Linked DNA regions of Ovis aries. The protein of the gene in region 2 binds, or shares a complex with, the protein of the main gene of each other region. Links are inferred from orthologs where the notes say so. Each region holds a gene or a part of one and is shown on either strand. Other genes may lie near its edges.

Region 1 (3,642 bases), about 91 Mb from region 2:
GGAGAAGGGAGGGGCACAGGGGACAGAGAAGAAGAGGCAGAGGGAAAAGGGAAGAAGGAGGAAGGGAAAGGCAGGGAAGGAGGGCAGAAGAAAGCAAATACAGTTACGCTTTCTTCTTCTTATCCCACTTACATCTATTCTCTCTTCAAAATATCCACGGTTTTTAGACACTGGAGCTCAGTCAAAGGTCATCAAAATTGTCAGTCATCACTCTGGTGGCAACTCACAAATGCACAGCCCCAAACTGCCTGACAACTGGATAATCAAAAGTAACTAACAACTAGCTTCTAGAATTTGTAAGAGTCAGTATAAGGAGAGGAAAATCTATGGTCAGAGTCAGCTCTCCTATTTCTATAGCTAAAAGCAGAAAACAAAAGGGGAATTTATATGAGTACTTATTTATATATCTTCTGCTTCTTAAGAACCGTACAGATGCTAACAAAGATTAAATCACAGTTATCCCATCAAGGTACGCTTTGTAAAAGAAAATCGAAACAAATATTTCACTCACCAGAGACACAACTAGCGTGAACAGCCAGGCATAAATAAAAAAATAGTCTCCCCCAATTTTAATAATGTAAAGTAGAAGTGAAGATACAGGTAATAAAATGCACTGAGTCACAACAAATTTCTTGATTGCATCTTTCATGAAGAACCCCAAAGTCTGAAAATATAAAAAGTCATCACAAGAAACTAAGAAACTGCTTTTTAAAATAATCAGTGAATAGAAAGGATACATTATTAAAGCAATTTTAAAAATGAAAAGGCAGTCATATAAAGACTATATGACAACAGGCAGCCTAAGACAATACATCAATGCCTTGCATTTTACAATTTAAAATAAACTTGTTTAAATGTTATTAGCTAAAAAACACTAGATGTTAGTAGAAGAGTTTATGGCAAGACCTTAAACTATGATCTTTACCATATCTGCAGTTCCTTTTTTCTAGATTAATTCATGCTGTAAAATAGCAAATTGTTGTTGTTGTCAGTCACTCAGTTGTGCCCAATGGGGTCCAGTTTGTGACCCCATGGACTGTAGCCTGGCAGGTTCCTCTGTCCATGGGATTGTCCAGGCAAGAATACTGGAGTGGGTTGCCATTTCCTTCTCCAAAACAGCAAATTATGTTTTAATTACTACCAGCAGAGGACAAAAGCACAAAAGATCTTCACACTGAAAAGAGAACATTGTATTCTTTATTTTACCTGTTGATTGAAACCATGTTTTTCTTCTATCACAAAAGTATTATAAAGACTCCATGGCAAACCAGTCAATGCACTGAAAAGTGTAGCCAGCAGCAGAAACACCAAGGACTGAGTGATCTAAACACAAGAGAAAAAAGGCAGTTTTTAAATATTAATTGATTCCTCAAACAAATTGCTAGGCAACAAGTCAATGAGTATACACTAAGTATAACTAGAGCAATGTGCTTGATTCTATGGCTAACACAAGGTCTAAAACATCACCTCCACCCTCGGCTTATTTGTAAGATGGGGAGGCAATAAAATACTTCTTTAATCACACAGGCACCATATGAAAGTTAACTTGAAGTCATACAGACAAAATGGTTAAAAGAACTTAAAAATGAGAGACAGCCACATATGCTGATGAATTCAGGAGGCTTACAAAGCTGATGAGACTGGGAGTGCTACTCTGAAGAAAGAGATAAATTAGTGGAACAGAAGAGACAGAGGAATTCCACAGAATCTGTAAAAGCAAGGAGAAAGAAAAGAGCACTCTGAAAGCAAAAGATGACAAGACGATGGGCCTGGAGAAACACAATGGGGCATCAGAAAAGCTGGGCCAGGGCAGGTGGGGCAGAGTGTGCTGAAATTTTCACAGAGCCCAAATCCAACAGAGACAGTTGTTCTCAAGGATTCCTTTCATTGCCTTTACAACAGATCCTTAGGAAATTAAAAGCTAAGAACTGCCTCATTTCTCTCACAAATGTTTTCCTAAGACAGTGGAAGACAAGGACTAATTAGCACAAAGGGACTTGTGGGGATGGGGAAAGGGCACTGAAGCAAACAGAACCCTCTCTTTCCCTCCCACCACATTATCACTCCCCCTCTTCCTCCCCAGTGGACAACTGAATTCTTTTTTAAAAAACATTAATTAATTTTTTGCTATGCTGGGTCCTCACTGATGCGTGAGTTTTTCTCCAGCTGCCGTGAGCAGGGGCTACTCTCCAGTTGCAGTGTGCGGGTTTCTCAATGCAGGGGCTTCTCTTGTGGAGCACAGGCTATAGGGCTTGCAGGCTTCAGCAGCTGCAGCAGGCAGACTCAATAGTTGCAGCTCACTGGCTCTAGAGTACAGGCTCAATAGTTGCGGTACTTGGGCTTAGTTGCCCCAAGGCATGTGGGATCTTCCTGGACTAGGATTAAACCTGGGTCTCCTACACTGGCAGGCAGATTCTTATCCAATGCGCCACCAGGGAAGCCCCTAAAACTGAATTCTTTTAGATGGGAGTATACCACCAAAGCATATTTGATTTGTCAGTAAAGATGTAGCCACTATGTTTCTAAACATAGAAAAAGGGAGAAGGGAAGAGGAAGAAAGGAGATTTGGCTACAACATGCAGGTGATTCATTTCAGCATTTGTCCCCAAATGGGAAATGAGATATTAAAAAACAAACAAACAAACAAAACAGATTCCAGGACCTTCTTTAAAATTACTGAGTCAGAATCCCATCTTCAAAAAATATAACCATATTAAATAACAGCGAGTAACATAATCTTGGTATAGGATATGCTTGCTGCAACTTCTGAAGCTCAAAAGCTCCAGAGCCCATGTGCCACAACTAGAGAGTCTGGGTGCTGCCAAAAAGATCCCGTGTGTGATGTAACCAAATAATTAATTAATTAATAAGTCTAATTCCCTAATCACTGGGCTTATTTCCCCCTTAAACACTATGATTGCAAGGGTGTTTTAAATTATTTTGCCTTAAACACTAAAACAGCCAGCACCATTCCCTGACTATTATCAATCCCTCCCCTTCCAATCCATCCTATATACACATCAGATGAATCTAAAAATGCAACTTCTCTACTTAAAAAATTTGTAATGGCTCTAAAAGACTGCAAACTCATTACGCTTTTAACGATTTTCATAATCCAATCCCCAAATGCTACTTTTCACTACGCTTTTCTAAGACCCTTCTACTCCTAACAGATAACTGTAAGCTAGCGTTTAGAAAGATGATTGAGTTAAGGAAGATATTAATACTCTAGTTGAAAAAAGGAGGTGTGACAGTCACACTGGGAAAACTGGAGAATACACAAACACTCAGGACCTTTTCTCAGAAGAACCCTAATTCTAACTCAGAAAGGAGAAAACATCTTAGAAACAAGATCTACTGGGCAGTGAGGGGAAAGGGTTTTGACTTATAGCTTCTCAAAGGCAACAAGATCTGGGCTCTAGCCCCATAAGTGAATAACTTAAGGTTCCAGGACACAGAACATTATAAAGTCCTGAGCCACGAGGGTGGAGTGATCCAGACCAAAATGGCCTGATGGCACACTTCACCTCTTGTCTGAGATGAACCTACTCATTCCAGCTCATATTTATAACAAGGGAACAGAACTCTGGAGCATTCTGAGTCTTTAAGTTAAGCACTTGCTGGAAAAGGCTGGGCCAAATC
Region 2 (4,320 bases):
TAAGCCATGAGAGGCCCAGGGTCAGGGCAGGAAAGCACATGGGTTCTGGAGCCTCAGCCTCTGCCACCTCTTAGAGGTGATGAGATGAGATGGTTGGTGGGGCCGGGGCCCGGATGGGAATGGGGAGTAGGAGGCTGATTAAAGGGGTCTCCCGAGAGTCCTGAGGATGGAAGCTCAGGGACGTGGATGATCCTGTTTTGTGAGAGGGCCTGGCCCCTCCCCGGAGCCAGTGGCAAAGCAGACCTGGTCAGAGAGGAATGTGGAGATAAGTGCGGTGCTGGCCCAGCAGTCAGCAAGGCTATGGGCGCCTTTGCTGTCTTCACCCCCATCACCCCCCTTTTCTGGCTGAAACCAGGATAGAGACCCAAAATTGGCTGTCCAGCCCCCAGCCCTGCTCCCCCTTTCAGGCCCCTTTGGGAACCACAAAAATTTGGGACCTGGTGTCCTGGCAATGTGATGAACGCATGCACAGCTCTGGTATCTGTTTTAAATTATCCATTAAAATAAGTACAGTCCTGGAAAAAAAAATAAGTACAGTTCTGGGGTTGGTGGGCTGGGCTGGGCTGGGCTGAGGACTAGAAAGGGACCAAAGCTGGGAGGAACCTCAGGCAGGCTCTTTTTCTGACTGCTGGGGTCCAAAGGAAGGGGATGGGGTGGGCAGTACTTGGGTCCTATTCTTGACCTTTTCTGGGGCCTCGGGGTTGTTCTTTGGGTCTACGATCCAATGGTTGATTTCAAAGGGAGATTAAACTGGGGCAGAAAATAGGAAAAGAATAACCCCAAACTCTGGTCCCCACCCTGAATTTGAGGGTGTAAAAGGAACTCAGGATCCAGAACTTTGTGGCAGCTCTCCCTCCAACCACCCCAGGGAACCCAGGCATATTTCCCCACCCCACCCTGGCATACTGAGATGTGGCTTTGAATGGACTGCCCACTCATGGAGGTGGGGGGTGGGGGAGTAGGGGTGACTCACTATTACTATGGGGAGGAAAAGGGGGGCCAGTGGTGGAAGAGTGAGTCACCCTCATGGGCACCAGCCTCAGCCTCCCCCCACTTTCCTGGATCTGCCTGCCTGGCGCCCTCCCTTGCTTTGTGCCTACTGCCCCTCTTCCCCCTGCCCTTTGCCCACCCAGCCTCACCCCTTGGCTCTGCCCATTTCCCCCTCTAAGGCCAAAGGCAGTGGGGGCAAGCTTTTAGCTTGGATCGCTGAGCAGGTAGAGACCTAGAGACGAGCTTCAGGGAAGCCCCAGGCACGTGGGGGTGCCTGAGGGAGGGTGGGGCCCTACCCCGGGGCTGTCGTCTCCCCTGCTCACCCCTCCCTCTCCCACCCCTGTGGGTTAGCGACGGCCCCTTTAAGAGAGTGGCCCCTCCTCCCATTCCCTAGACCTATTAGAGCCTTTGCCCGGGAGCCGGTGACTCAGAGTGTTCGCGGGAGCTCCGCATCCACACCGGCCAACCGAGATCCAGAGGTCTGACAGCGCCCGGCCCAGATCCACAAGCCTGCCAGGAGCCAGCCGAGAGCCAGCCGGCCGGCGCGCTCCTACCCCAGCAGTCTCTGTCCTTCGGCCTGAGCCCCGCGTCCTTCCCGGGACCTCTGCCCCTCGGGCAGTGCTGCCACCCTGCCGGCCATGGAGACCCCGTCCCAGCGGCGCGCCACCCGCAGCGGGGCGCAGGCCAGCTCCACCCCGCTGTCACCCACCCGCATCACCCGGCTGCAGGAGAAGGAGGACCTACAGGAGCTCAATGACCGCTTGGCTGTCTACATCGACCGGGTGCGCTCGCTGGAAACGGAGAATGCAGGTCTGCGCCTTCGCATCACTGAGTCTGAGGAGGTGGTCAGCCGCGAGGTGTCTGGCATAAAGGCCGCCTACGAAGCCGAGCTGGGGGATGCCCGCAAGACCCTCGACTCGGTGGCCAAGGAGCGCGCCCGCCTGCAGCTGGAGCTGAGCAAAGTGCGAGAGGAGTTCAAGGAGCTCAAGGCGCGGTGAGTGCCCCAGGTGGCGGCGTGGGGCCGGGAGGGGCAGTGAGGGCAGAGGGACTGCCGCCCCTGCCTGGGCTCCAGGCCGTTGGTAACGTTGCCGTATAGTTTCCTCCCTCCCGGAACTGCCCCCAGCGAGTGCCTGGCAGTGCCAAGGGAAATTGTCAAGACAGGACTGAGAAGGGAGAGGTCTCTGGGAGAGGGTGGGGTATATAAGGAATGGCGGGGTTCATCAGGGCCAAGTAGGAGCTGGTGGCAGGCCCGCAATCTGTCAGGGTGGGATTTGCCAGTCATTTGGGGCCTGAGAGAGGGCCTTGAGCAAAGCCGAACTGGCCTTGCCAGGTCTAAGACATCTAGGCGCCCAAGACACTTAGGAGTGGGTGAGAGGGTCCTGTTGGAACTTTCTTGGCAGCCTTGGCACCGTGCCAACCTTGCCCAGCCTGTCTCTGAAGACATGACTCCCACTAAAACAGAGCTCCTAGGCTGGGAGATGTCTAGTGGTGCCAGAGAGAGGTCACCAAAGCCGGGTGACCCCCTTTTCCCCCTGCAGGGGCACAGCGATGGCCCCCACTGCACAACCCTTTCCCAGGCTCTTGTTAAGAGTTTTGAAGTGCTCCTTTACTCCCTGCATGTCTGGGACTTCCCCTGGCCTCTGACAGGCCCACCGATCAACTCTAGGAGAGCCGCTCCCCCGCAGCTCCCACAGCCCTTGGCCTGCTTGGCCCAGGAATGCAAGGGAGGGAGGGAGACGGAGGGCAGAGGCTCCCGGCTCAGGAAGTTGTGTTATGTATGCCCAGGTCTGTACCTCCCCTTCCCCATCTCCCCACCCTCACCCTCTGCCTAGTCCCTCCCTGCCTCCCTTCTTGGGGTGAGCCACTTTCATTTTCCCGGCCAAGCCTAGCAGCCTCTGCTCTGGCCGGCCCTCTCAGCCACTGGGACATTTTTTTTGTTATTGTTCTTTGCCTTATTAAACTCCTGGAATACTGTGACATTTTTGAAATCCAGCCGTTGGAAGACTCAGGCCCCTCCTACCTTACCCATCCCTGCCCCACCCTACCGCACCCTACTTGTCTCCTCCCTCTTCTCTGAAAAGGCCTTTGGAGCTGGGAAGTTTAGGCCCTCTTCAGCTCCCCAAGGATTTGTTTTCTGAGAAGACCTCAGCCAGAGAGCACTAAGGTGCTTGGAGACCCCTGGCTGAGGCTGTAGTGGTTGGTCTTCTCTTCTTCCCCTTTGCGTCGTCTTCTCCAGGCTCATGCTCTTCTCAGAAGCGCTGTGAATTTGCTACTCTTTATACCCCTTCGCTAGCCCCCAGCCCCTGGCATGGTGGGTGTGGCAGATGTATCATCCCCTAGTGAAGAGTAGATGGAAATGGTGTGGGTAGGCAGGTGACTCTCCCCCCCACCACCCCCCGCACCCCCAAGCCCAGGCTTGCCAGGGGTCAGTTCCCTGATCAGACCAGGGATCCAAAGCCAGGAATCCTAACCATTAGGCCACCAGGGAACTCAGAGTGACTATTTCTGTTGAAAGGGATCATTCCTGTCATTGTCCACTAGTGATATGAATAACTTAGTTAACAGGGCAGACAAGAGGCAAGCTAGGGGAGTCCCAGAGAATTAGTCTTCCAAACTAGCTTACCCAGCTACCGAACTACTACCTTGCGGGTCCCTGCCAAGGGCATTCTTAGCAGGTCTTTTTCTGGGGAAGGTTTTGACCAGGGAACAGAACGAGTGGAGTCTATGGTCTCTCGCTAACCCAGCCACACCAGTCTGTCTCTGCCTCCTGGTGCAGCTGTCCCGGTCTGGGACACCAGGCGGGTGTGTGCGCACGTGGGACAGGGCCGGGGGTGGTGTGTGTACTTGTTATATTTAGCTGCCTGCCTCTCCTCTCCCCCACTGATCCTGGCTGGGGGTGCTGGGCTTCCGGGAGAGGGGGGGTGGTTTTGCACACCTGGATCCTAGGCTGATAGGAGGTTGGGCGGAGACAAAGAGGGCTCACTTGAGGTTTCTGTCCCCTTCTATGTCCCCAGTGGGAGGAGCAAGGATTTGTTGCTCCCTTTTGTGTCTGCTTTGCTCAGGGTGAGGTGAAGAACGCCATGAAGAATTTGGGAGAGGAAGAAAGGCATTGTCCTAACTCCTCCCACTAAAGCCTAGAGAGAAGGTGTTGTCTGGTTTAATGTTTAATTAGAGCTCAGAGTTCAGGGCCAGGCTTTGGGTTGGGATGCAGAGCTGTCTGTAAGGTTTTGTGGCGATTCCTGGCCCAGCCTGGGTACCTTGACCACACCCAGGGCTTTGGGGCCCCCTCTCATCAGACTGGGTTACAGGCTCCAAGCAGAAACACTGCTC
Region 3 (3,699 bases), on a different chromosome or scaffold from region 2:
TTGAGGACCAGTCTGGCTACTTCCCAGTAGTAAGTCCATGGAGTCAGCCTGACCCTCTAGTTTCATCTGTGGAAAACAAAACTAACACTTATTATGAATGAAAAAAAAATGTTTACACAAACCTTAGCTCTGAACCTGGTTCATAGTAAGTCCGATAAACAGATGATGAAGATATACCAAATACAAGTGTAACTCACTCAAGCCTGCCCACCCAGTTGGGTTGCCCACACACTTTCTGCCTCCCTGAGAACAGGGCGGACTGCATGAGCCCCGCCCACTCATCCCAGAGACCAGGAGAACACATGACCAATGGCAGGTAGACCTCAGTCCACATCCCATCCACCCTTTTCCTGCTCTGACTCCCTCGGACTTTCCACCAGGTGCTGACTAACCCAGCTGTTGACCACACGGATGTCTGGATCCCAGGAAGGAACCAACCCACTCACTCTCCCACGTTGGTGAGGGATTGAGACACTTCAAGGCACCTGCCCAAGGCCCGTATTGCCAGGATGGCCGCCCTTGGGAGTGTGAGGGAAGCTGCCAGTTTCGATCTGCACTGATAAGCAGTGTGGCAAACCTGGTCAGTCCCTGGGGAACAGGCAACTCCCAGCCTGCCTGCTTCCCACATACAAAGCCCAGTCATGAAGGCCACTGGCTTTATTGATTTATAAAACTTTACAAGGACAGTGACTGTTCTGCCAAAAAGACTACCAAATGGCATAAAAGAGACCACAGGTGGGGGTGGGGGTGAGGGACAGGGCCAGGAATCCACTCAGAAAAGCTGGTAATTATTGTCACGAAACTGGCAGGGAAAGGAAAAGGAAAATGCATGCAAGGGTGAGAATTCCAAAAAAGTTGAAACGGTGAGGGGAGAGAACTCCCCAAAGGCCCTGGAGTACATGGGAGGTGTGCACAACAGCAATCTCTTCTTTTGTAGAGGACGGAGGAGGAGTCCTCACTAGGCTGCAAACTCTGGAGACTCAATGCTGGGGCTTGGGATCGGGGGCTCCCCAGAGAGCATCACAAGAAGGCATCACACCACTCTCGAAGGCAGCCAAAGCAGTCCCGGGACTGCTTGGCATTGGCGCCACACGTGTCCTTCAGCCATTCCCGGAAGAGGTCTTCATCTTTCTTTAGGACCAGAAACTGGCCGAGGACCACATAGGCCTGCAAAACGGGCAAAGCAAAAGATGGGCTGCCGAGTGCTGTGTAGGACTAAGAACAAGACGACCACTTCCTGGGACTTCCCTGCTGGTCCAGTGGTGAATAATCTGTCTTGCAATTCAGGGGACATGAGTTCAATCCCTGGCCCGGAATCTACAATCCTACTTGCTGTGGGGCAACTAAGCCCGTGGGTTCTGGAGCCTGTGAGTCACAATGAAAGATCCTGCAAGCTGCAACTAAGACCCCAGGGCAAACAGAAACAAATAAACATCACGGGGGAAAAAAGGGCCACTTTCCTGTGGCTCCCCACACATGAGCCCAAGAGGCAGGGTGGGTTCTGCCCGGCTGACTCTGCCGATCACACAGGAGCGTCCACTCCCCAACAGATACACACACCCTCCTCACTCCCCAGCTGCCGGGAAATGCTGTTGTCGCGCCTCGCCCCCCTCCCAACTACAGGCAGCCACTCCACACCTTATCAAAGCCCCTTTCCTCCAGTTTCTTGCCCAGGACTTCGCCAATCCCGGCCAGGCTTCCCACTGGCTTCTCCCCCATGGGCTCTGCCACGAAGTCTCGGTGCTTTTGGGAGGTTGTCATCTCGATCAAGCTTAATCTGGGAATCCCAAGAAGAGGGAAATTAGGGCTGAAAACCAGGGAACGCCCGAAAACCCACTGGCAATCTCACAGGAAGAGAATGCCAAAGCAGCTGTTATGGGGGCTTTCTCGATTCCCCCCACTTCACAGATGAGAAAACTGAGGTCCACGCACAGTCTTTTCCTCACTGTTTAAGAGCTTAGTCTCGCCCAGTCCCTGCGGGAGCTGGGTTTTGGTACCGCCCCCGAGGAGAAACTATCTTGCCCTAACAGGCGGCGCAAGCAGGACAAAGGTAAGATTTCCACAGTACCCAGGGCCCGCCCTGAAAGTGTCAACCCTCTGTGACCTTGGCTGGGCAAAAGCAGCACTGACTCGGGTCTGGAATGGCCACTTGGCCCGAAAAGCAAACGGCGGGCCCTGACCCCGCCGCCGCCGCACAGGCTGCTCATTGAGCGAAGGCGCAGCCCGAGCGCGCACACCCGCGCTGCCAGCAGCGTCAGCGCCACACCTGGACGCCCGCCGCGCCCTACGCCGTGGACCCCGCCCCCAACGCGCCGCGCCCCGCCCCTCCCAGCGCCTCGCCGAGCCCTCTCGGAGGGCGCATCGTCTGGCCCGTCTCAGCCCTTGCGGGCCCTCTCCTCCCTGCCTCCCCCTCCTCCCCGCGCCCGTTCTGGCCTCCAGCCCGAGCCCTGTTCCGCGGCTCGCGCTCACCCGCAGCTCCAGTTCCTGTAACGGCTTCTCCCGCCACCCGGCTGCTCCCGCCGCTACCTCAGCCCACTAGAACTTTCTTCCACTTCCGCTTCCGGGTCGCCTCAAGGGGGGGGCCTTTAAAAAAAAAAAACAAAACTACATTGGGCACTTCTAGCCGCTTAGGGTCATAGAGTTGCGACACCACCCAGACCTCGAGAGCGCCCTTAGTAGGAGTTCATTTCCGGTTGCTTCGGAGGAAGCCGGGCTGCCTTTTGTAGTCTTGCTTCTTGGGAAGCATTTCCGGCCTCAGGGAACAGAAACCTGTGAGAAGAAAACTTTATTTATCTGCTGCACGGCATGCGGAACTTAGCCACTTAACCTTGGCCGACCTGGTGGTGGGAAAAATTAGAGAGACGGACAAGGGGAAAGGCGTGACCAGGAGACTTCCGGGAGAGCGCCGGAAGTACGGTGTCCGACTCAGGCCGACAGGCGTTGTCCTCCTCCCTGTCGGACTTATTAGAGTCGGACGGGAACCGGATGAGCCCCAGACCTGAGTCCAAACCGACTCCAAACGTTGTGACCACCGGCGAGTCCTTTTTCTCTGCTTTCGTTGCCTCAGCTCTGAAGTGAGTCGTGGATGAGGCGATCTCAGCGTTCTGCCTGGAGAACCGGGTCGTTCTGGCAGCTCTCGTGGGATCCGAGGGCCAGAGAGTAAGTTTGGATCTTTCCCTCTGAGCATCTTTCCATCGAGATAGGAAAGGAGGAGGGCAGGGGACGGCAACTAGAGATGACACTTCGGAGTTTCCTTTGGAAACCATCATGACTTTGAACAAACTCGGGGAAATAGTTAAGGACCGGGAAGCCTGGCGTGCTGCAGTCCATGGGGTCGCAAGAGTCGGATACGACTTAGCGACTGAACAACAGTCTTCTGAGTACGCATCAGTCGTTGTCTTGCAGTACCAGGGTCAGAAACAGCAGATGCCAAAGATCAAATCGGTCTCAATTAAGTTCAGTCGCTCAGTCGTGTCTGACTCTTTGTGACCCCATGGACTGCAGAACGCCAGGCTTCCCTGTCCATCACCAACTCCCGGAGCTTGCTCAACCTCATGTCCATTGAGTCGGTGATGCCATCCAACCATCTCATCCTTTGTCGTCCCCCTCTCCTCCTGACTTCGGTCTTTCCCAGCATCAGGGTCTTTTCCAGTGAGTCAGTTCTTCGCATCAGATGGCCAAAGTATTGGAGTTTCAGCT

The links.
Region 1: the proteins of LMNA (region 2) and ZMPSTE24 are in contact, whole or in part, in a crystal structure (PDB 2YPT), measured with the Homo sapiens proteins. The link is inferred for Ovis aries from reciprocal best matches to the Homo sapiens genes LMNA and ZMPSTE24. Residues at the interface, in NP_001393912.1 of Homo sapiens: Cys661, Ser662, Ile663, Met664; in NP_005848.2 of Homo sapiens: Ser264, Asn265, Ala266, Tyr267, Phe268, Val332, His335, His339, Glu415, Leu438, Asn439, Asn442, His459, Arg465.
Region 3: the proteins of LMNA (region 2) and BANF1 are in contact, whole or in part, in a crystal structure (PDB 6GHD), measured with the Homo sapiens proteins. The link is inferred for Ovis aries from reciprocal best matches to the Homo sapiens genes LMNA and BANF1. Residues at the interface, in NP_001393912.1 of Homo sapiens: Ser431, Gln432, His433, Ala434, Arg435, Met540, Lys542; in NP_001137457.1 of Homo sapiens: Val11, Ala12, Glu13, Pro14, Glu83, Asp86, Ala87, Phe88.

What each region holds. Positions count from the first base shown.
Region 1 is NC_056054.1:14,870,999-14,874,640, reverse strand, and holds part of ZMPSTE24 (CAAX prenyl protease 1 homolog), read right to left. Parts: intron 1,324-3,642; coding exon 1,207-1,323; intron 665-1,206; coding exon 512-664; intron 1-511. UniProt on the Homo sapiens protein: Transmembrane metalloprotease whose catalytic activity is critical for processing lamin A/LMNA on the inner nuclear membrane and clearing clogged translocons on the endoplasmic reticulum.
Region 2 is NC_056054.1:106,135,899-106,140,218, forward strand, and holds the start of LMNA (lamin), read left to right. Parts: upstream 1-1,419; 5' UTR 1,420-1,628; coding exon 1,629-1,984; intron 1,985-4,320.
Region 3 is NC_056074.1:40,528,155-40,531,853, reverse strand, and holds BANF1 (barrier-to-autointegration factor), read right to left. Parts: upstream 2,548-3,699; 5' UTR 2,470-2,547; intron 1,778-2,469; 5' UTR 1,762-1,777; coding exon 1,639-1,761; exon of another isoform or gene 1,168-1,638; coding exon 1,021-1,167; 3' UTR 643-1,020; downstream 1-642. UniProt on the Homo sapiens protein: Non-specific DNA-binding protein that plays key roles in mitotic nuclear reassembly, chromatin organization, DNA damage response, gene expression and intrinsic immunity against foreign DNA.